4 linked regions of the Arabidopsis thaliana genome follow. The protein of the gene in region 4 interacts with the protein of the main gene of each other region in a pairwise test. Each region holds a gene or a part of one and is shown on either strand. Other genes may lie near its edges.

Region 1 (4,430 bases), on a different chromosome or scaffold from region 4:
GCACGTCCTACTGGGCGAAGATTCTGATGATTCATCTCGAGTCAAGTTTGGCGAAGAAACGGGTTTCGGAATGGATCTGTTTAGAGATGAAAGAACCAACTATGTTCCTCGCCAAAGTTGTGCTAGCTATGCGGTTCAAGGGATTGGGTTTGTGTCAAATGGTTATGGACTAGGAGATAGTAACTGGTCAGTGTCATATAAGCCATTCATGAAGGATGTCTGGGATAACAACATGGTAATATCTGCAGATTTGATTGCTGCTCAGGCTGTTTCGTCACTACAGATATCTGAGGACGCTGATAGGAACGCTTATGTCTTCGAGACGATGTTCGGGGGATGACAAAAGCCATCGTGCCAAACTTGGCTGCAGAAACAAGTGTTTGCTATGAGTAGAGTTGCAGTTTTTTTCTTTATTCTAGAACCCCTTTTGGTGTGAAAATTCCTCCTCGTTGTTTATCTTTTGATGTTAGACTAGCTGAAAAGATGTTTTCTGAATTCTCTTTGTAACATTCACAAATACGTTCTAAGTTTTATACAGATTACAGAGTACCTCTTGAATCACGTGATTATCCAAATTCAGTCACAATTTCTAGTGTATTGAGACTAATAAACCTTTTGATGTTAAGATTTGACAGTAACAAGCGAGAATGATCTTAACAAAAGCACACGTGAGCTAAAAACTCAAGAAAAAATGACAGGTTCCAACGTTGATACAGAGTAATGGGTACAGACGAGGAGAATAGTGCGTGACTCTTAGACCGGTGGATATACAGCTAACCGAATGCATTGTGGTGGATCGGTACGGTTGCTACTGAAACAGTAGAACATCAGAGTCACGGCTTTGTTTCTTCTGATTGGTGACTGCATGATTTGCATCTTCATCTTTGTTCCCTATCTCTGTACTAGTGGAGGGTTTGGCTGTGTTAAGTAAGCCTTTGAGCCAACTACCTTGCAATCTCAAGTTCCCGCTGTCTGAATTGTTGAGAGTTCCCGGTCGTTGTGGAGAGCCATTGGAGCCATTGGTTACGTTCGAAGTAACATTCGAGAGGAAGCGATAAGCCACTTTACTAGCTGACACAAGTTCAGTTTTGGCTTGCTTCATCTGCAAAATCCCAATTTACAAGTTTTGAACACCCATAATGTTGCATTTACGTTGTAGAGAAGCTAAACAAAAGGGAACCCACCCGCATTGCTGTGTTTCCTGCCACTTCCAAGGCTGTGTCCCCAGCATTAGCAAAGCGATTAACCCAACCTGTTAAGAGACAGAACCCAAGCCGTCACATAAGCCTTGAAGACAAAACACACACACACACACACCAGATTCCCAAAAAATGGCTTTACCTGGGATCTTTGGCACACCAAGCCGGTCACAGAGTACATCGCAGAAGTGATTGCAATTTTTTGACAACAAATCATAAGTGTGTCCAGGCCATTCCCTGCTGAGTTCACGCAACATCTGATTCACCATGAAGATTGTGCAATCTGTTTTGCCAAGGACGATTTTCTCACGGTATGTGTACATTGGATTCTTTCCACTCGGGCAGCTGAATACACCAGTTCCTAGTTCACAATACCCGTAAGACCATTCATCGTTTCCATATACCTGCACAAAGGTCATAAAATATTCTATTCAATCACTCTTCCCTGCGAATCAATAGTCATCTACAAGACACAAAAAAATAACAAAACCATGAACAAGAATAATCAAATGATATTGCATAGATATACAGACCTAAGAACATAGAATGATTAGCACTAACTTGAAAACCTAAATTCTGGTAGTTTTGTTGGAATACACCAAATTGTCACGACTCAAATGGGAAAGTGGTATATGCAATTATATTTGCCCAGGTCAAAGATCACAGAAGTAAACGTAAGCCATCATTGGATTTAACAAGTCTCCAGAGAGCACTTGGTCAATATATCGCAATCATTATCATATGGAAAGTTACCAAAAGTACTAGGAAACACAAGATCCTGAGCAAAAGAGAGACTTCAGCTCCAGACCTTTAGGACCATAAACCATTAAACTAAAGCCTCACATATCAAAAGAAAAGTATCATGCCGTCAACTTCTTAATTTCCACATACATACACAGAAACAAAAACCAAATCTACATAAAGTAGACCAAAACCAAGCTTAGACATCATCGATAATTGTACATAAATGTAGATTCATAGAATATAGACGAAGAGTAGTACCTGAATAGCGCTGTGGAATATACCGCCAAGACCGATCCCGTCTTTGAAGAACCTATTGATCTGAACAATGGTGTTGTTAGTCTTCTCCGATCCACTGTTCGTCACATCGTATATATGCAGAACAACCTCCGTCATTGATTCTATATTTACCAAGCAACACGAACCCTAATTTCCTACCAAAAAGAGCTCGCAGATTCTCTCTATATAGAGCTTTTGGTGAAGAAGGAAACCTAAAGACTCGTACCAAATCCACTTCTCCGTTTAACGAATCCAACAACTACTAGATCTCCCCGAAAAGAAATCTAAAGGCACAAGATTAGACTTATCTTTCTTCTTCCGATTTCTCAATTTCAGACGTAGGAGATGAAGAAGAAACTGGTGCGGCGGTGGTGGTGGTGGTGGGGATCCACTGAAATGACAATTTTACCCTCGCTTTTCCTGCGGAATTGCTACTTTACGTGTCCCTTGTTAATTCCTTTTGTTTACAACTTAAGCACGCGTTTAGATTATGAATTTATGGTAACAAATTATATTAGTATGAACGTTGTTCGCAGTTGATTAAACGGGTCAACTACTGAACCTTTTTTCTTTCATTTAACTAACATTTCTTTAGCTAGACAAGTGTCCTTACCAAAACAAATCAAAAATACTAGTAAAGCATCTCTATAACAAAATAATGACTTAAGTAATCTGACACAACCAAGGAAGATGATTCATGACTATTAAAAAATGGGGTAAACAAAAAAAAAAGAGGGTAATCAATTGACCGATTCTTCCGATAATTTTCGAAAATGCAAAACGGACACAAGTCTGGTTTTCGTTAGCCATCTGATTCGTCTCGAATTAGTCCATCCATTCATACACCAAATTTATAATTTTGCTTCTATGTAAAAAAGTCAATCATAAAAACTTAATGACTTCTTTTTTATGGTACATACATATTGGGCCAATTGGGCCTAGGCCCAGTACAACAGATGGGATTCAGGAAATAAATTAGGACCAAAGAAATTCGACCAAGTTTTTTGTTATATCAAAAGTGTATTCAAAGTCTCATTTTGGTGGATGAATCTTGAATGGGATGCTCAAAGCACAAACAAAGCTTAGTCAAGTTGATAAACTTTGAATGCAAATTAAGCTCTTATATTTTATTGTAATGTAAGGTAACATGACACTTGTACATATTCGTGAAAGGCTCAAATTTTCTTTCTTACATGATAAATATTGCAAAGTTGGAACCGGAAGTCGACAAAAAAAAAAGTTGGAACCGGAAACATCTCAAAACAGTTATCGGGGGATCTAACGGCTGCTAATAGCCCTCATTAGGACCCACAAAATACTGGGAGTAGACGAAGTCGCACCGGCCAAGTCTCCAAAGTCCCAATTGAAAACTTACACTTGAAAAAAAAGTCAGACATCATTCGACACGTGTCCCCATTTCATTAGAAGTCGCGCTGCGTTTCTTTCTCTGTACTAGTTATAATTCCTTCTATTATCCTCTCTCTCTCGTCTTCTTCGTCTGCTCTTCTTTTTTATCTCTCGAAATTCCTCTCTCTTTCTCTCTGCATCAAAACAGCAACTTTACTTCTGCGTTTTTGTTTATCTCTCTGTATTATCCGATTAATTTAAAGGAGTTCTTTGAAGGCAGCTGCTTCTATGCCATATTGCCGAGGTTTGGATCTAAATTTCATCATCATCTTTGTTTCTCCGTTTATCTTCAATTTCCCTTTATCTTTTCAATATAATTGACTTATTTCGTTAAAAGTCTTTTTGATTAGCTTCCTCGGATCTTATGCTTATTCATGGATCTTAGACCTACATAATGGATTAAATCCGATTGTTTCTCTTATTGTTCTTGTTGAATTGAGGTTAATTTTGATCTGAAAATTAGTTTCTGCGGCAGATCTGGTGTCTGTATTTGTGTAATTTGTATCCATTAGTCTTAATTGAGTTATTAGCTGAGGATTAAGAGAGATCCTGAAATTTGCCGTGGAATTAACTCTTTCTGTGGATGGATGGATACCCTTTGTATTCTTCAACTTTGCTCCTACTCTGGGAAATTAGGGTTTGAGTAATCATTAGGTTTTACTCTTTGGCTGTTGTTGACTATCTTCAATCTAATTGGTGGCTGATTTTGTTTGACTTCTTTAGGACTTTTGGTGTCTTTCGAGGTCATTAGAACAATTGTGTCTGCTTGGTTGGTGGTCTATCTACAACTGTTAGCTTTTACAA
Region 2 (7,116 bases), on a different chromosome or scaffold from region 4:
TATTGAACATCTTCTAATCTGATTTATTTGGCAAGTTGTTCTATATAACTTGCATGCAGGAAATTCAAACTTTCATTGTTCAAAATAGGCAAGTTGGTCTATATAAACAACAAAGAAACAAAAATGAAGTAACTTAAATTGAATAAAAGTTTCAAACAATTAAACGAAAAAAAACATAAGTTTCAAATATTGCGGCCAAATCATATAATCCACAGTGTGCCCAAACGAGAATCCAAGGCAGCAATACCATCTAACATAGGCACATAGTCAAGTGGACACATACACATTCGTGCATCCACCTTTTCCAAAATATAACTAAACTTTACCCTTAAAAGTAAGAAAAAAGTGTCAATTTTTCTTTCAAATATCTCTCAGAAAAACATTTTTAATTTGTGTCTGGGATATGAAGAAGCCTGGAAATAGACAATAGCTATGATGATGGACCCTCGCAAGAAAAAGACATAGCCACAAATCCTTCATTATCTTAAAATAATAAATGATAGAGTAGTCCACTTGCCACACTCCAAAGCAACAATAGAACTAAACAAGTCAAAACAATTGAAAAGGATCCTTCCTCTCTCCAACCCAAGAAGCTAGCTACGAAACCTCTCAATCCCACTTTTATATATAACCTCCAATCTCAAAAACCAAAATCCATAATCAAAACCACAAAGAAGACTCCAACATAATTCATCATCTATGGCTTCTTCACATCAACAACAGCAAGAACAAGACCAGTCAGCTTTAGATCTCATAACCCAACACCTTCTTACTGATTTCCCTTCCTTAGACACCTTTGCCTCCACCATCCACCACTGCACCACCTCAACTCTAAGCCAACGCAAACCACCTCTTGCCACTATAGCAGTTCCTACTACTGCACCGGTGGTTCAAGAGAATGATCAAAGGCATTACAGAGGCGTCAGGAGAAGACCATGGGGTAAGTATGCGGCTGAGATCAGAGACCCAAACAAGAAAGGTGTTCGTGTCTGGTTAGGCACTTTTGACACAGCCATGGAAGCTGCAAGAGGTTATGACAAGGCAGCTTTTAAACTACGAGGAAGCAAAGCTATTCTTAACTTCCCACTTGAAGCAGGAAAGCATGAGGACTTGGGAGACAACAAGAAGACTATTTCTTTAAAAGCAAAGAGGAAGAGACAGGTGACGGAGGATGAAAGCCAGCTGATCAGCCGTAAAGCTGTTAAGAGGGAAGAAGCTCAGGTTCAGGCTGATGCTTGTCCATTAACGCCATCAAGTTGGAAGGGGTTTTGGGACGGAGCAGACAGTAAAGACATGGGAATATTTTCCGTGCCTCTGTTATCTCCTTGTCCATCTCTTGGACACTCTCAACTCGTAGTTACTTAAGCTTCAGAGGGTCAAACTGGAAAAAATCAACATTGGATTGTTTTCAAAGCTTCTAGATTAGCTGATTGTAAAAAAATGTTTTACTATATTCATTCATTCTTCTTAAATGCAATTCTTTCTACCCTTCCTTAAACGAGCTCAAACTTACAAAAACTTAGGGAGGTCTTAAACCAACAAACCTGTCTTTGCTAGATCACTATCAATGTCCAGCCTAAAGAGATACAGAATGTTCAAGACGCACAAATAGAAGAGAAAACTAATGCTCCACCAGAGCTTCGACTTCCAGATGTACTTGATGCTAAGGTTGTAACATGTTCACGTCATACAACATGGCAAGATTACGTAGACTATTTCAAGTCACCAAATCAAAGGAAACAACCAGAGAGAAATACTGAAGATGAAAGTGTACTGATTGCATTTTAGTCCTTCACCCTGAGAATGTTAAGACGTTGATTATCAAATGACACCACAAACTCAGTCGGTAGGAATTCTTCCAAGTAAAAAAAATATATAGGCACAAAGCTTCCATTGCAAAATATTTGTGAATACATGATACAATTGAATTGAACAATTTGCTTTGCTAATACCATGTATCAAATACATTGGTCATAATTGACGTCTTGCTACCTGTGCAATTACAGACAAAATGAGATGATTTTATAGTGTAAACAACTACGTGACATATAAACGTCCAGCTGGAAAATTGTTGCTCTACTATAAGAAATTTGAGTCCTTAATGTCGTGTCCCAAACTCTTGGGTGATGAAAAGTTTACTGATTTAAGCATGGAAATGATCGATGATATGCTCTATGACATCTGCTCCTTCTATATGCATATCTTCATTTTTAACCTGTAAACGGCATAACACAGACTATTAGACTTTATGGTTTTACTAGAAAGTATGTGGAGATTAATCCTATCAAAATGAATGAACAATATGTTATCGTTCAATGTATATAACAACAGAAAGATAACTATCAAGAGAGGATGCAATTAAAAAGCCTTAGGTGTGAGGATAAACAAATGTTATATCTTAAGACACATGAGGTATGGCAGGTGAGAGTGAGAGACCTGTATAACACTATGGGCAGCAAACCTCTGCCTGCTACTGTGAAAGCTAACATCAACTTTTTCCCATGAGACAGAGGAGAGGCCTTTGATCATTTCTTCTGCACAATTGACGAGGCACTACGTTATTATATACATCATGATGCATATGAATAAGAAAGCAGAAGCACAGCATATGGTAGATCATCAACATATGAATTTGTACTGAACACTTCTTTTACCAGCTAATAAGATCTAAAGCATAGAAAGTAGAAATAGAAATAAGAGAAGTGAGCATTAAGTTCTACAAAATCACAGATAAATGCCTAAACGGTCAGTGCAACAAGTGCACGCTAACCTTCTATGTCGTCTGAATGATTCTCGCCTTCTGGTATGTCCTCCATATCACATGCCTTGCAGAGTTCTTCGTAAACAATATGAGGATACTTCTCATTCAGAGAATCTTCCCACTGGTAAACAAGAAATTATTCATTTATCAGAGAGAACTATTATATCAAAATCCTGAACCAAATCAAGTAATCCAGTCAGAGTCAGATACCTTAGGCAATTCACTGTCACGTCTAATGGATGCCGTCTTCCAGCCAACAACGTCTATTTAGATCTAGTGAAGGAAAAAAAAAATGTAATGTCTGATGCTAACAAGGACATTTCTACAAGTAACACACATAAAGGATACGATCATGGCCCACATTTGAATAAGCCACCCGCCTTTTGAAGGCTCGCAGTGCAGATCTGCAATTGAGGAAAACATTTTCTAGTGAGACATTATCGAGACAAAGTTAGGTAAACTAACTTGTGACAAATGGGACATAGAGTGGCACACATGAAATGACAATCATCGGTATCTTCCACCATGCGTCGAAGCAATGGTGGTTTTCCCTCTTCTTCATCCTTCAAGAAAAGGTGACGGCCCGTTCTTTTAAATATCCAGTGGATAATGAGACCTGCAACTTTCTCAATGGAAGAAAAACCAAAGAGAAACGGAACCTGGAAGAAAACAATAAATTGTTATAATGAGAATAATATCCAGACATAAGTGAAATGGTAATTCAATCATACAACCAGATTTGCATAGTTCAAGAAAGCAGTTGTCAGTCATAACTTATATACATTACCCTGGTGGAAAGTTAGGTAAACAGAGTGCCAGGTTTTTAGTAGCAAATATTAAGATAGCAAACAAGTTATGTTTCCTAATTTTGTTCATTTTTTTAACACTCACCAGAACCATGTTATGCAATGAAAGTTGTAGAAGAAAATTCGTTTCAAACAAGTTTAATAGACGATTTAGCAAAGTCAATGCACTACGCATGTACACAAGTAGAGTTACCTGTTTATTACCCATTGAACCCAAATGTGGTGTAGCTACAGTAATAAAATTCATAGCCTCGAGTCCACATATTGTGCCTTTGGGAGTCTCTTGACTACTGTCCGCTACCGAGTCTTTAACATCTTCCTGATTAGCGGGCTTGTACAATTTCCCAATTGCATATCTTGCTGCAAGCCCTCCCAAAGAATGTGCAACAAAGGAGATTTTACAGATATTTGGTTTTCTCTGAATAATATCAAGAACCTGACATGCATTTTCGTTACATCAAACAGAGTCCAACTCCACAAATGTAAATAAAAGAGGACCTATATGTGACGCCTTACCTCAGCTGCTAGACGTTCACCCATTACATCCACACCATCTAGAGTAAGCGCAGACACATTCTTTTCACTACCTGCTTACAAAAGGTAAGATCATAAGAATCTTGGAGCAATAAACCTAGCATCATAAGAATCTTAGAATTTAAAGATAATTGCCAGTGACACAGACCCAATAGTAGCAAGAAATGGAAAACAGAACCTATTAATAGCTGAATGATTAGATAAAGGGTCCACTAACTAAGTTTAATTCTGAAAAAGGAAACTAATTTCAATTTTGGAACTTTGTAAATCATCATTAATCAAAGCGCAAGACAACTTACAGTGAACAAAGACTTTGTCTGGCATCTTTTTGACGAACTGCTCAGCTCCAAACTTCCAATCATCCGTACTGCAGTTCTCAAGAACAATTCTCATTATTGAGATTTTGGCGAATTGCATAAATATATCAAGTAAAACAGAACAATCAAAATTCTCAACTCCATCAAAGTTTGTTTACCTTCCCAAGATCCCATGGACCATAACGACAAGGTGATCAGCGGAAGAAGAATCAGAATTCTGACAACTCCAAACATCAAGGCTACCATCAACAGATTCCGCCTTGCAAAGACCGTTTTCCTCCTCGTGCTTCTCCATGGGATCCAAATTTCAATCGAATCCGATCAGATCAGATCCAATTACAGCACAAACACTGCTTCCAACCACCCAATTTGAAATCGTGGATCAGAAATGGTGGGAATTAGAGTTGAGGATAGGATTTGGTAAAAAGTAGAAAGTGTGAAGTGGGAATGAAGAGAGAGTACGTACGAAGCAGACTTGCCAGAGAAGGAAACGGAAGGAAGAAAACACGACAAAATGTAACGTGGAAGTAAGTAATCGTGACGTGAAGTCGGCTTCGATAGAGATACCGACTTCCTGAGAACAAACTCTCTCCCTCTACGCCTTTGCTTTTTTCTTAATTTGGGGAAAACAAACAAACAGGATAACTTTGACTTTTTTCCTCTTCTTAACAACAAAATAATATCTTTGACTTTACTGGTTTCAAAACGTAATCAACTGGATCCCGTTATTCCGTTACAACGGAACTCTGCTAAGTACTGAACTGTATTAAACTGTTAATTATACGGAAGTTACAAATTACCATAGTAACTAAACGTTTTGGATTGCCGGTCTTTGGATTTTTCTTTTTCTTCAACTATACCAATTTTTGATTAAGACTAAAAAGTTCATACAATCTGACTACCTTTGAATCACTAACGGTGATAACAAAGTTTGTGACCAATACTTTTGTATAATATATTTTTTACAGGTTTTTTCGAATCAATTTTAAGTCCCCAGCCTTCGTCATTGTAGGCAAATTGGGTGCTCGTTGGAACATCGTTGGTAACTGCCATTAGTTTCTAAGATATCTGACGACTGCTCTTTAACAAGAACACGCCAATGTTTATGACCAAATGCTTTCAAATCAATACACAGGGATCGATTACTTCGGATTCAACTAGGTACGGGCACTAGATAAAATAGATAATTTCATACATTAATTTGATATTCTCAGTGTCAAAACAATGTTTTCAGAATTGGCAGACTAAATTATCTATTTGTTCGAATATGGATGTCCTAATCATATTCGAACAAATAGATAACTATTTTGTGTCGTGTTCAATAGACATTTAATCAGACAACTATTTTGAATGTATTAGTCAATTCTTCCGATTAAACTTTACTCGTAGTTTGTCATTAAACTGAAGCAAATCACAATTGAACAAAGTTAGATTCAGAAGCTAACAGTTGTAACTTCACTTGGAGATGCACATAGTATCTCTCAGATCAAGTGTTGGATTAGATTAATTTTGCTTCATCATTATCTACCATCTAAATTCGTTTTTACTGAATAGAAAACCAAAAAACAAACTCTTATAAACTATTTATGGGGATTAAGGGGATAACTCAGTAGTGGCTAGTGATTTAGGTTCGATTCTGCCAGCAATTCTCTTCAGCTTAATCAGAAGAGGGAGCTGTACATCCTCATCGTAATCTCCAAAATCCCCATCATCATTAAAAAAGCGCAAACACCGATTTCAAAATCGATAAAAACGTATAAATCGATTACCAGAGAATTTCAAATTCGAAAACGCAAACAAATCAGAATCAAATGAAAAGAGAGGAAGGCTCAGATCAGCGGGGTTATCGACACAGAAACGACTCAACCAATAAATTGGAAGAAACGCCTAATTCCGGTCTGTTGAGCTTGAAATTTCCGAGTCATCACTGCCAATCTCCCTCTCTCGATTAGAGAATTATAAAGAAACTTAAAAACTATCAATCATCCAAAAAGACCCATAAAAACGACGATTGAATAACAGAAGAAGAGAACCCTAGATGCTATTGAATACTGATAATGATGAAACCTCCGGCGATTGGTGTCTAATTTATAGGGAACGTAATTAGGGTTTTGCTTTGATCTTCGGTGAAGGCCCATTCTCGGCCCGTTAATGGTTTCCGAATTGTGCTGCTTTGTCTTCGCGGATGGTTCGGTTTATATTCGGTTCGCTTTAATTTGGTTATATTAGAATCATTTTGGTTTAATCTGGTTTATGCTTGAAAATGAAATCTGGTTTAAATAGTTTCTCTGTTTGGTTTTTCTGTTTTAATTAATTTACGGGCAATGGAAGCATTGAGAGCGTCCTACGGCGACTCTTCATCGGATTCCGATACCGATGATCTTTCTCCGGCGAGTCCCGTTACTGCAAATTCTGGAGAGAAAGATTCGATTTCCTTGCCTCCTCCACCGCTTGCGCTTCTCGATTCCATTGTATCCACAGGTGAAGATGCTCATCAATTGTCTCTGTGATTGTTCCTCAATCAAATTCTTAGAGATTTCACTCATCACTTATTTTTTATTTCGTCTGAACTTGAAGGTTCACTGGATTTCTTCTCAACAGAGCCTGGAGTTCGTGTAAGAAACTTTCCTCATGTCGATGGAAATTACGCTTTGCACGTTTACGTACCTGGTATTTGTTCATTTCGTAGCTTAAAATT
Region 3 (5,663 bases), on a different chromosome or scaffold from region 4:
GCAATGGTTAGACGTTGAGGCTACAAGTTACCATCCACCACTATTGGCTTTAACGCTCAACATTGTCTTTGCACCACTTATGGGTTTCCCTGCTGATGAGAAAGTTATTAAGGAGAGTGAAGAGAAGCTTGCAGAAGTGCTTGATGTCTATGAAGCTCAGCTTTCTAAGAACGAATACTTGGCTGGTGATTTTGTGAGTCTAGCTGATTTGGCTCACCTTCCTTTCACCGAGTATCTTGTTGGTCCTATTGGGAAGGCTCATTTGATCAAAGATAGGAAGCATGTTAGCGCTTGGTGGGATAAGATTAGTAGCCGTGCTGCGTGGAAGGAGGTTTCCGCTAAGTACTCACTACCTGTTTAAACAAGGAGATGTTGACTTGGGGGGTTTGTGTGAGCTTTGTGTTCTTTGAGGGAGTTCGTTTTCGGGTCGATTGTCTTGTTGTTTCAATAAGAAACGGAACTCTGTCTCATTTGTTGTCTCTGGTTTCTTGTATTCTGTAACTTTTCAAGCTTTTCAATAAGAGTTTAAAATCAGAGTGACTCAACCCATGTATATTCCTCTATTCAGTGTAGGTCTTTGATAAAACTGGTACTAACATCACAACCATCGTGGTTTGTTGAAGGATTGCATTTATATGAAAACTGGTTTATATGAATCCAAAAACATAAGTCAAAGTTTAACACATATCTCTCTGTTCTTCATGTTGTAATAAAAGGGAAAAAGAATCATTCCCTAGTCAGACAAATTCAAGAGCGGCAGATACATAACAACTCTTGAATGTACAAGAAAACTAAAAAGACAAATTCTTTTTGTTGTTAGAAGAATCAACTCTCCAAACATTACCAGACCATCAAAGAGTATATTAAAATGTACGAAGATCTACCAATCTTTATTCAAGGCTGGTGATGAAATGATTCGGAAGGCGGATCATTGCGTGGAACGTTAGGTTCAGGAGACACTACCGGGATATCCAAGCTGTTTCTTCTGTCCCGTTCAGTCTCTGCAGATATTTCTCTTACATCAGAAACTCTTGCCTCTGTTGCCTGAATATCATTCCATTCGTTTTCTCCCACCGGAGGCTGAGCGTTTACTACCTGCTCTTCACTCATATGGACTACATTCTCTCCCGGTATAGAGGCTGTTCTTGAAATGCTCAGACATGCTTTATCCACATTCTTTTCTGTTTCCTTTGTCATTGGAAGAGAAGCTTCGCCGTTAGTAGACTCAGTCTTCTCCTCACACACTTGCTTTGTCTCTAGTTGCTGCCTGTTTATTCAAAAATAAAGAGATTTATGACCCTTCAAAAGTCATGAGTTTCCCTGGGAGATAGATTCAGATAGGCTCACCTTTGAAGCTGAGTTTGTAACATATTCACATATGCTAAAAGCTCTTGCTTCTCTGTCCAAGCAGTTGCTTCTCTCTGAGAAGCCTCTTTTGATTTTGCTTCACCGCTTGCTTCTGCAACCCTCACTTTCTCTTCGGCCCTCACAACAGCTCCTTCAAGTATGACAACACGCTCTCTGGCTTTCCCAAGCTCAGACCGCCACATATGTGCCTCTTGGAGAGCAGCGTCTCTTTCCTTAACCAATTGATCTTTTTCCTTACTCAAAGTAAAGGTCTTCTCTTCCAATTCCTTGAGCTACATAGGAGATAAAGATCAAATAAACAACAAAACATACACAAGGATGCAAAAGTATCTATATATGACATGGCCTCATTACCTTTAATTTTGTGGCTTCTTGCTGTCTCTGTGAGTCTGTAGTCAAGCGCTCAAATTCCACACAAACGATTTTCCTTTGTTCATCCATTGTATGAGCAGCAGATGCTGCAGCTACAGCTGCTTCAGCAGTCTCAGATAGCTTATCTGCTATTTCCTTTATCATTGAGTCACGAGAACGAAGTTCCCTGGCTAAATTATGTAATTCTTCATCTTTGACACGCAGAGTTTCCTGTAAGATGTAAGTGGCTCAATAAGGTTAACCTGGACATTAGAATGAAGATGGACGAATAAGATTTATGCTAATTCTGTTAATTTTCATCCTTGACAAGCAGAGTTTCCTGTAAGGTGTCCCTATATGCTTTCATCGTTCATCTTGACATTTCAGAATCTCAACAGCCAAAGGATGTCAATATGCTATTCACAAAAGTTTCCCAAATTCGAAGAGAAAGAGAGATGCAAAGATACCACACCTTCATTATTGTCAAATCATCTAGTGGTCCATCAATCGGTTTATTTGGCGTTATTTTCAATGCATTCCTCAAAGAGATCTGCATTGCTGCTTGAATTTCTCTGGAACATTCCAATGCTGTTGAATTGGCAGCGGCAACAACGGTTGCAACGGTACCAAGTGTTGCAGAACCACTTCCACTTAGAGATTCGACAGCCTCCTTATGGGCCTTTAGAACTAGCTGTGTCGCACTGGAACGAACAAAGAAAGATAAGGTTTATCAGATTGGCTTTTGAGGGGCATTTAGAAGGTATTACATTTTCAGTAAGAAACGTAAAAAGAGAGAGAAAGATGATTCTTTCAACATGGTCGACGACGAAACCATTAAATCAACACAACTATGAATTATTTAAGATAGATGAAATAAGCGGGGTGGCTTCTCTAGAGAATGGTAAGTAAATAAAAAGGACAGAAAGAGAAGCAAACAAAAAGATGAAGATCCAGATGACTTACTGTAAGGTTGTGACCCAAGCTTTAGCTGCACCAGGAGTCTCTGCACACAAAAAGTAATCTTTCTTCTGTGGGGTACCAATATCTTATATCAAGTTGAAGAAAATTCAACTCTAGATTCCAATCAACTATCTCCTTATAGACAAAAGAAACAATTATAAATATGCCAACATTTTACTAAAACCAAGGATACAAATACAGCAACCATTATATTTTGGAAGCCCCCTGAAACACAAAAGAAACAAAGTCAATGATACAAACAGACACCAAATAATGATGATTATACAGAGCAACAAAAAAAAGAATGTAGCATCCATACTGGAAGTTGACAGGAGAGATGGAGATTGTGCTATTTTCGTCAAACAAAATTGTTCCCTTGATAGTTGGCTCATTTCGCCTCGTCCTGAGTCATGGAAATACATCAGAAATGAATAAAACCATGATGAAGTGGTCTACACACAAATGCAGCTACATAAGCAAATTGATATAACTCACTTATACTCCATTTTCCCTGTTGTTGGATCAAGTATCACCCATCGTTCGTTCCATTTTCTCAGCTATTCATACATAAACACAAACAAAAGATATTATCATTGTGAACCTTTGAATAAGCCAAGACATTTCAGGCCAAAAGACTTGTTTAAGCTATAGAAATCTAATAGTGAGCTATCAGAGAGTCTTCTTAGTTTGAGCTAACTAAGAAATCCCAATCAATAAAGCAAAAACTGGTTTTGATCATTTTCACTTAAAAAAATTGGACTTACAGTTTCAGATCGCTTGAAAAGAGGTCCTTGTAGCAAGTTCCGACCAGAGCCAGATGCCAATTGTCGCTTGATCTTATCCAAGCTGTTCTCAGTAGCATCAACAATTCTCTGCGCATTTTCAGAAATTGACAAAATGGGTCAATTTAAGAGTGTGAATGAGAAAAGCAGCCAAAAGAAAGAGACTAAATTGTAGCACACAGAGATCAAGAGAGAAAAAGACCGGAGAAGCGCCGTTGGAAGCCATGTTAATTGGGATCGACGAGATCGGAAAGCTCTTGATCGATTAGAAGTGAATTGTTGCTGATCGATGGATCGAGAGAAGAAGGGTTTTAAGAGGTTTTCTTTGGTATAGCTATGAGTATAAGCTGAAGAAGACGAGGTTACAGAAGAAGAAGAAGAAGAAGAAGGAATTGGAGAAAAATGCTGTTAGGTTTGGTTTCGCGGAATTGCAGTTGAATCTGTCTTCACTCTTTCAACGCGATCAAATCAACTTAACCGGTCGGTACGATACTGGATCAGCTTACTCGTCAAATGAACCGGTTCTTGAGTTTCTCACTTTTTGTTTGTTCACTTCATTTTTATGGTTTTTGATCTGACGGTGGAGGTGTCATCACATGATTCTTTTGTTTTGTTTTTGGTTATGAGGATGATTAAGTAGATCTGTAGAAGGTAGGCTTTGTTAAGGGAGAAGCTTTACATAAACGATGGGCTAAGGAACATCAATGGGCCGGGCTGTAACAAGCCAATCGTTTAGGAGAGAGCAGAGTTCTTACTTTGCCCAACTAATCTCAAATGTGTGCAAGATTGTGAAATATTGCGTACTAGCTTCGACGCTTGGTAGTGGTGACTTAGACACTTAGTTCACAGGGACTTCAAACATAGATGCGTTAGACACAGCTTTACACTTTCTCTTAATCTTCAAGATTTTCAATGTACTACAACTTCCCTAATGGTCGTAATGAAACATGATATAAGTACATAACATAATATTCAATAATATATGAGATTTGAGTAATCATATGTGATATGATGATACTCTTTCCTTAATAGCTAGGCGCTGATAACTACATAGGAGGAGGAAACACAACAACTTGTTGGGGATACAGAAATGGATTGAAAAGCATCAAAGCAAAAGAGTAGTAGACATGTAAGCCAAGACAATATTCAATTTTGGGGTTAACTGAAGTGGGAAAGCTGCAAAACGTGAAGTGGTCCTCTTGCTTTATTCTACGTATGTAGATTCCTTTTGTATGAATTTTCTCATTTGTTTTTCACTTCTATGGCATTCTCATCAACCCAACCATGCATATATTTCCTAAATGAAACGTCTAAGAAGCTATCAAAATCCATATTTTTTTGGCTCCTTTATATTCAATCTCCAAAATAAGAAGAAACTTCTACTATATAATATACTACAGAATTTGGACACCTTTTGACATTTATAAGTTTGACCATTTATCTAAAATTTGGTATGTTCTTATGATTAGTGTTTGAAAATAAGAAAATATATATCCATGTGATGTGGTCATTCATGTATACCTTCCATAGTGAAATCATGATGTTTGTTGACAGTAACATATTGTTAGTGGTCTATGAGCTAGTGCAACCTGCCATGACTCACTTTCCCTTGCAAAATCTGACATTCTTCCACAAAACATAAAAGTCCATTAAAATTCTACTTTTGGATGAATCTGACCTTAAGGAATTTTCAGTTTCAGTTTCTTCTTTTTTTTTTCATAGAAAACCAAAAGTGCTGTAGAGTCGCAGAGATAGTGACATCCACTTGAATATTCTTCTGTTTTTTCTTACATTCATTAATTAAATTCAATACTCAAATTATATATATATAGTCCTTTTTAGATATAAAACATCATTATTAACATCTAATTAAGATTGACAAAAATGAAGTTCGTTATATCAAATCGATTGCCCATTCCTCCACTTGCTTTTCTTCATTTAAATTCAGAGATACTAGTAAAATAAACCATCAACCTCCATGCAAAACCATATTATATAACAAAGTTGCGAGCTTAACTTTTTTTTTTTTTCTTTTTATCACATTTCTTTACACTCTAAAAGCAAATTCTAAAACTTTTCTTTTCTTTTCTCTTCTTCTATCTATAGCTAAGAAACTAGTGGATCAAGTATTCAAGTTCCATATATACCGTCATCCAATTCTTTACAAAGAGCTAGATACACACAAACTTTAACAGTTATACT
Region 4 (3,049 bases):
CATTTTCAGTCTCTTCTTGTAAATGAAATCTAAAAGTTTCTTTCTTGAAGCTCATTTTGTTATTTTATTTTCTTTGTGAGCAGGCAAGATCTTTATTAGAAGAGTATGCGGTTGAGGAATTAGTTGATCCGAGGCTCGAAAAGCGATATTCAGAAACACAAGTCATTTGCATGATTCATACAGCTTCATTGTGTATACGTAGAGATCCACATTTGCGTCCTCGCATGTCTCAGGTAAAGAAAAGATTCACCATTCTTGAAACATGTTCATTTCTTTAAGTCAATAAAACTCTCTCAAGTGTGTCTGCTCTTTTGCTTGTTGTTGAAGGTGTTGCGTTTATTGGAAGGAGATATGTTAATGAATGAAATCTCAGGGAGGTTTAATGGAAGACTATCCACTGAGAAAGGTCTCAGAGATCATAACTAAAAGCTCAACTAGCCAATCTGATCACTTTCTTTTGGTATAGTGCGTAGGATCAATAGAAGAATTTTGTAAAATCAAAGTCCTCTTAATTGACAATTATGGTTTTTTAGTAGCTTTATCCAAAGTGATTAGTGTTTGTAGTGCTAATCATGTAATAACGTAATTAACCAACAAAACATACTCAAAAATTGTACTGTTGTCAACAAATTGAACAAAGTAGAAGAACATGTCAAGTTTTCTCAAATCGCACCAAACTCAGTAACATACAAAAAAAAAAAACAAATTTTTGGATTTACGACGAAGGGTATGACATCAGCCCTGAAGCTTCAGTAACCGCCGCAGCTTCTTCATCAAGAAACAAATTATCACTTCTTCTAACCGCCGCATGAATCAGAACCAACACGGCGGCGGTTAACAAAGATCCCAGAATATTCGAAGTAGCGTGAGTCAACAAAAGCATCACAACCGTCAAAACCGATAAACCAATAAGAACCGTCCGATCATCAATCTGATAACCAAAAACAACAAGAGGCTCGTCACGGAGGAAATAGAGAAAGATCCAGAAGACGACCAAGATTGATAACACGATCAACGAGGTTGGGTGATATAGAAGGCTTAGGAAGAGGATGAAGAGAACTCCGATGGCGTAATTAGCTCTGAAATAGCCGAGATTCGTTTTGATCCTCGAGATCGCGTCGAAGAAACCGTGAGGGAGAGTCATTGATTCGAAATCGAACATTGATTTCCATGGGCGGCGCGTAGCTAGACCGGATTTTATACGGTGTTTGGCGCGTGAGATGTATTCGAGATCTATCGCCGGTGATGGATGAGACGACGTCGGAATCGCCCCGTAGTTCGTCATTTTTGGAGAAGAGAGACACGAAGCTTTTTTTTTTGTTGGTTGTAATAATTTATAAATTGCTCAGTGTCCCTATGGATTAGGTGATGGTGCTAATGTAAATGTCACATATGGATAAAAGTTGTTACATGCCCAATAAATACATAAATGCTTTATATTGTAATAATTTTTTATTTGTTTTGCAACTGTACATTTATGGTAACAATATTGGTATTATATGTGTTTAACAGTCAGCATCATAGAGACATATTCTTAGGAAAATGTACAGCATATTATATTCTCTGTCATTTTCAAAACATAAATCTGATTAATTACTTGTAAACAGCATAATTTTATTCATTAGAAGGATTAATTTTTTTTTCCGGCAGAATAAAAATTTCATATTATTAGTTCACCAAAGAAACTGCGACCGAGTGGTTTCTTTGGCAGCGCTTTGTTGCTGCACGTGGCTTATCCCCACAAATATTTACAAACTCCACCAGATATTTTCATGCTTTCACATTTTAGTCCCAACCTTTTGTTTGAATACCATCTAACACTTTGCTTTTTAAAATTCCTATTTTTAAAAACCGAAGTCGAATGCTTGATTTGTATTCAAAGACACTTCACCTTCGATTTTGTCATCTATATGGTTGAATGTTTTCTTTAAGATTGTCCATGGAGAATCCTACAAGTTTCACCAAAAACATTAACAAATACATATACATATATGGATGGACATAACCTTGTGCATTCTGTAATTGACCAGCTTCAAACACATACTTGACAATTCACAGAAAATTATCTCTCATTCTCTTAAAGATACATTTTGAATAAAGAGAAGATGGAGCTTGAAGAACAGAAGAAGTACTTTCATGGAACACTAGAGATTACAATCTTCGATGCAACACCTTTTTCTCCTCCATTTCCTTTCAATGTAAGTCTATATCATATACTGAATTAGTGACTCTGATGATGTTATCATTGTGTTCATTTTCATGAGCTTTTGTTATCTTTGTTCACAGTGTATATGTACAAAGCCAAAAGCAGCTTACGTGACCATCAAGATAAACAAGAAGAAAGTTGCTAAAACAAGCTCAGAATACGACCGTATTTGGAATCAGACTTTTCAGATCCTCTGCGCTCACCCGGTTACTGACACGACTATCACCATCACGCTCAAGACTCGATGTTCTGTTCTCGGAAGATTCCGAATCTCTGCAGAACAGATCCTGACATCTAATTCAGCAGTTATCAACGGGTTCTTCCCTCTGATTGCAGACAATGGGTCAACGAAACGTAACTTGAAGCTTAAGTGTTTGATGTGGTTCAGACCGGCTTATCTTGAACCGGGATGGTGCAGAGCGCTTGAAGAAGCGTCTTTTCAAGGTATTAGGAACGCAAGCTTCCCTCAAAGATCGAACTGCAGAGTCGTACTGTATCAAGATGCACACCACAAGGCCACATTTGATCCAAGGGTTGATGATGTTCCTTTTAATGCAAGGAATCTATGGGAAGATGTTTACAAAGCGATCGAAAGTGCTAGGCACTTGGTTTACATTGCAGGATGGGCACTAAACCCTAATCTTGTTCTTGTACGCGACAACGAAACTGAGATTCCACATGCGGTTGGAGTAACGGTTGGCGAGCTTCTGAAACGGAAATCAGAGGAAGGTGTAGCGGTGAGAGTAATGTTGTGGAACGACGAGACGTCTTTACCAATGATCAAGAACAAAGGTGTAATGAGAACAAACGTCGAAAGAGCTCTTGCTTACTTCAGAAACACAA

What was found.
Region 1: the proteins of PRA7 (region 4) and AT4G25680 interact in a two-hybrid assay, tested with the Arabidopsis thaliana proteins (one large-scale study listed by BioGRID).
Region 2: the proteins of PRA7 (region 4) and AT5G51180 interact in a two-hybrid assay, tested with the Arabidopsis thaliana proteins (one large-scale study listed by BioGRID).
Region 3: the proteins of PRA7 (region 4) and SWAP70 interact in a two-hybrid assay, tested with the Arabidopsis thaliana proteins (one large-scale study listed by BioGRID).

What each region holds. Positions count from the first base shown.
Region 1 is NC_003075.7:13,086,331-13,090,760, reverse strand, and holds AT4G25680 (PPPDE putative thiol peptidase family protein), read right to left. Parts: upstream 2,789-4,430; 5' UTR 2,337-2,788; coding exon 2,202-2,336; intron 1,604-2,201; coding exon 1,342-1,603; intron 1,253-1,341; coding exon 1,185-1,252; intron 1,103-1,184; coding exon 809-1,102; 3' UTR 600-808; downstream 1-599. Other genes in the region: AT4G25690 (stress response NST1-like protein), read left to right, coding at 1-340.
Region 2 is NC_003076.8:20,794,957-20,802,072, reverse strand, and holds AT5G51180 (alpha/beta-Hydrolases superfamily protein), read right to left. Parts: upstream 5,124-7,116; 5' UTR 4,714-5,123; coding exon 4,577-4,713; intron 4,469-4,576; coding exon 4,401-4,468; intron 4,155-4,400; coding exon 4,084-4,154; intron 4,004-4,083; coding exon 3,761-4,003; intron 3,421-3,760; coding exon 3,257-3,420; intron 3,166-3,256; coding exon 3,110-3,165; intron 3,025-3,109; coding exon 2,972-3,024; intron 2,883-2,971; coding exon 2,771-2,882; intron 2,535-2,770; coding exon 2,437-2,534; intron 2,216-2,436; coding exon 2,144-2,215; 3' UTR 1,366-2,143; coding exon of another isoform or gene 700-1,365; 3' UTR 594-699; downstream 1-593. Other genes in the region: AT5G51190 (Integrase-type DNA-binding superfamily protein), read left to right, coding at 700-1,365; AT5G51170 (U6 snRNA phosphodiesterase-like protein), read left to right, coding at 6,743-6,899, 6,996-7,088.
Region 3 is NC_003071.7:13,142,032-13,147,694, forward strand, and holds SWAP70 (Pleckstrin homology (PH) domain-containing protein), read right to left. Parts: upstream 4,030-5,663; 5' UTR 3,688-4,029; coding exon 3,664-3,687; intron 3,552-3,663; coding exon 3,444-3,551; intron 3,237-3,443; coding exon 3,175-3,236; intron 3,083-3,174; coding exon 2,999-3,082; intron 2,905-2,998; coding exon 2,873-2,904; intron 2,765-2,872; coding exon 2,683-2,764; intron 2,421-2,682; coding exon 2,192-2,420; intron 1,951-2,191; coding exon 1,723-1,950; intron 1,641-1,722; coding exon 1,348-1,640; coding exon of another isoform or gene 1,344-1,347; exon of another isoform or gene 1,268-1,343; coding exon 895-1,267; 3' UTR 634-894; downstream 1-633. Other genes in the region: GSTF10 (glutathione S-transferase PHI 10), read left to right, coding at 1-361.
Region 4 is NC_003070.9:20,586,686-20,589,734, reverse strand, and holds PRA7 (PRA1 (Prenylated rab acceptor) family protein), read right to left. Parts: upstream 1,339-3,049; 5' UTR 1,286-1,338; coding exon 716-1,285; 3' UTR 536-715; downstream 1-535. Other genes in the region: AT1G55200 (kinase with adenine nucleotide alpha hydrolases-like domain-containing protein), read left to right, coding at 84-233, 328-426; PLDEPSILON (phospholipase D alpha 4), read left to right, coding at 2,106-2,198, 2,287-3,049.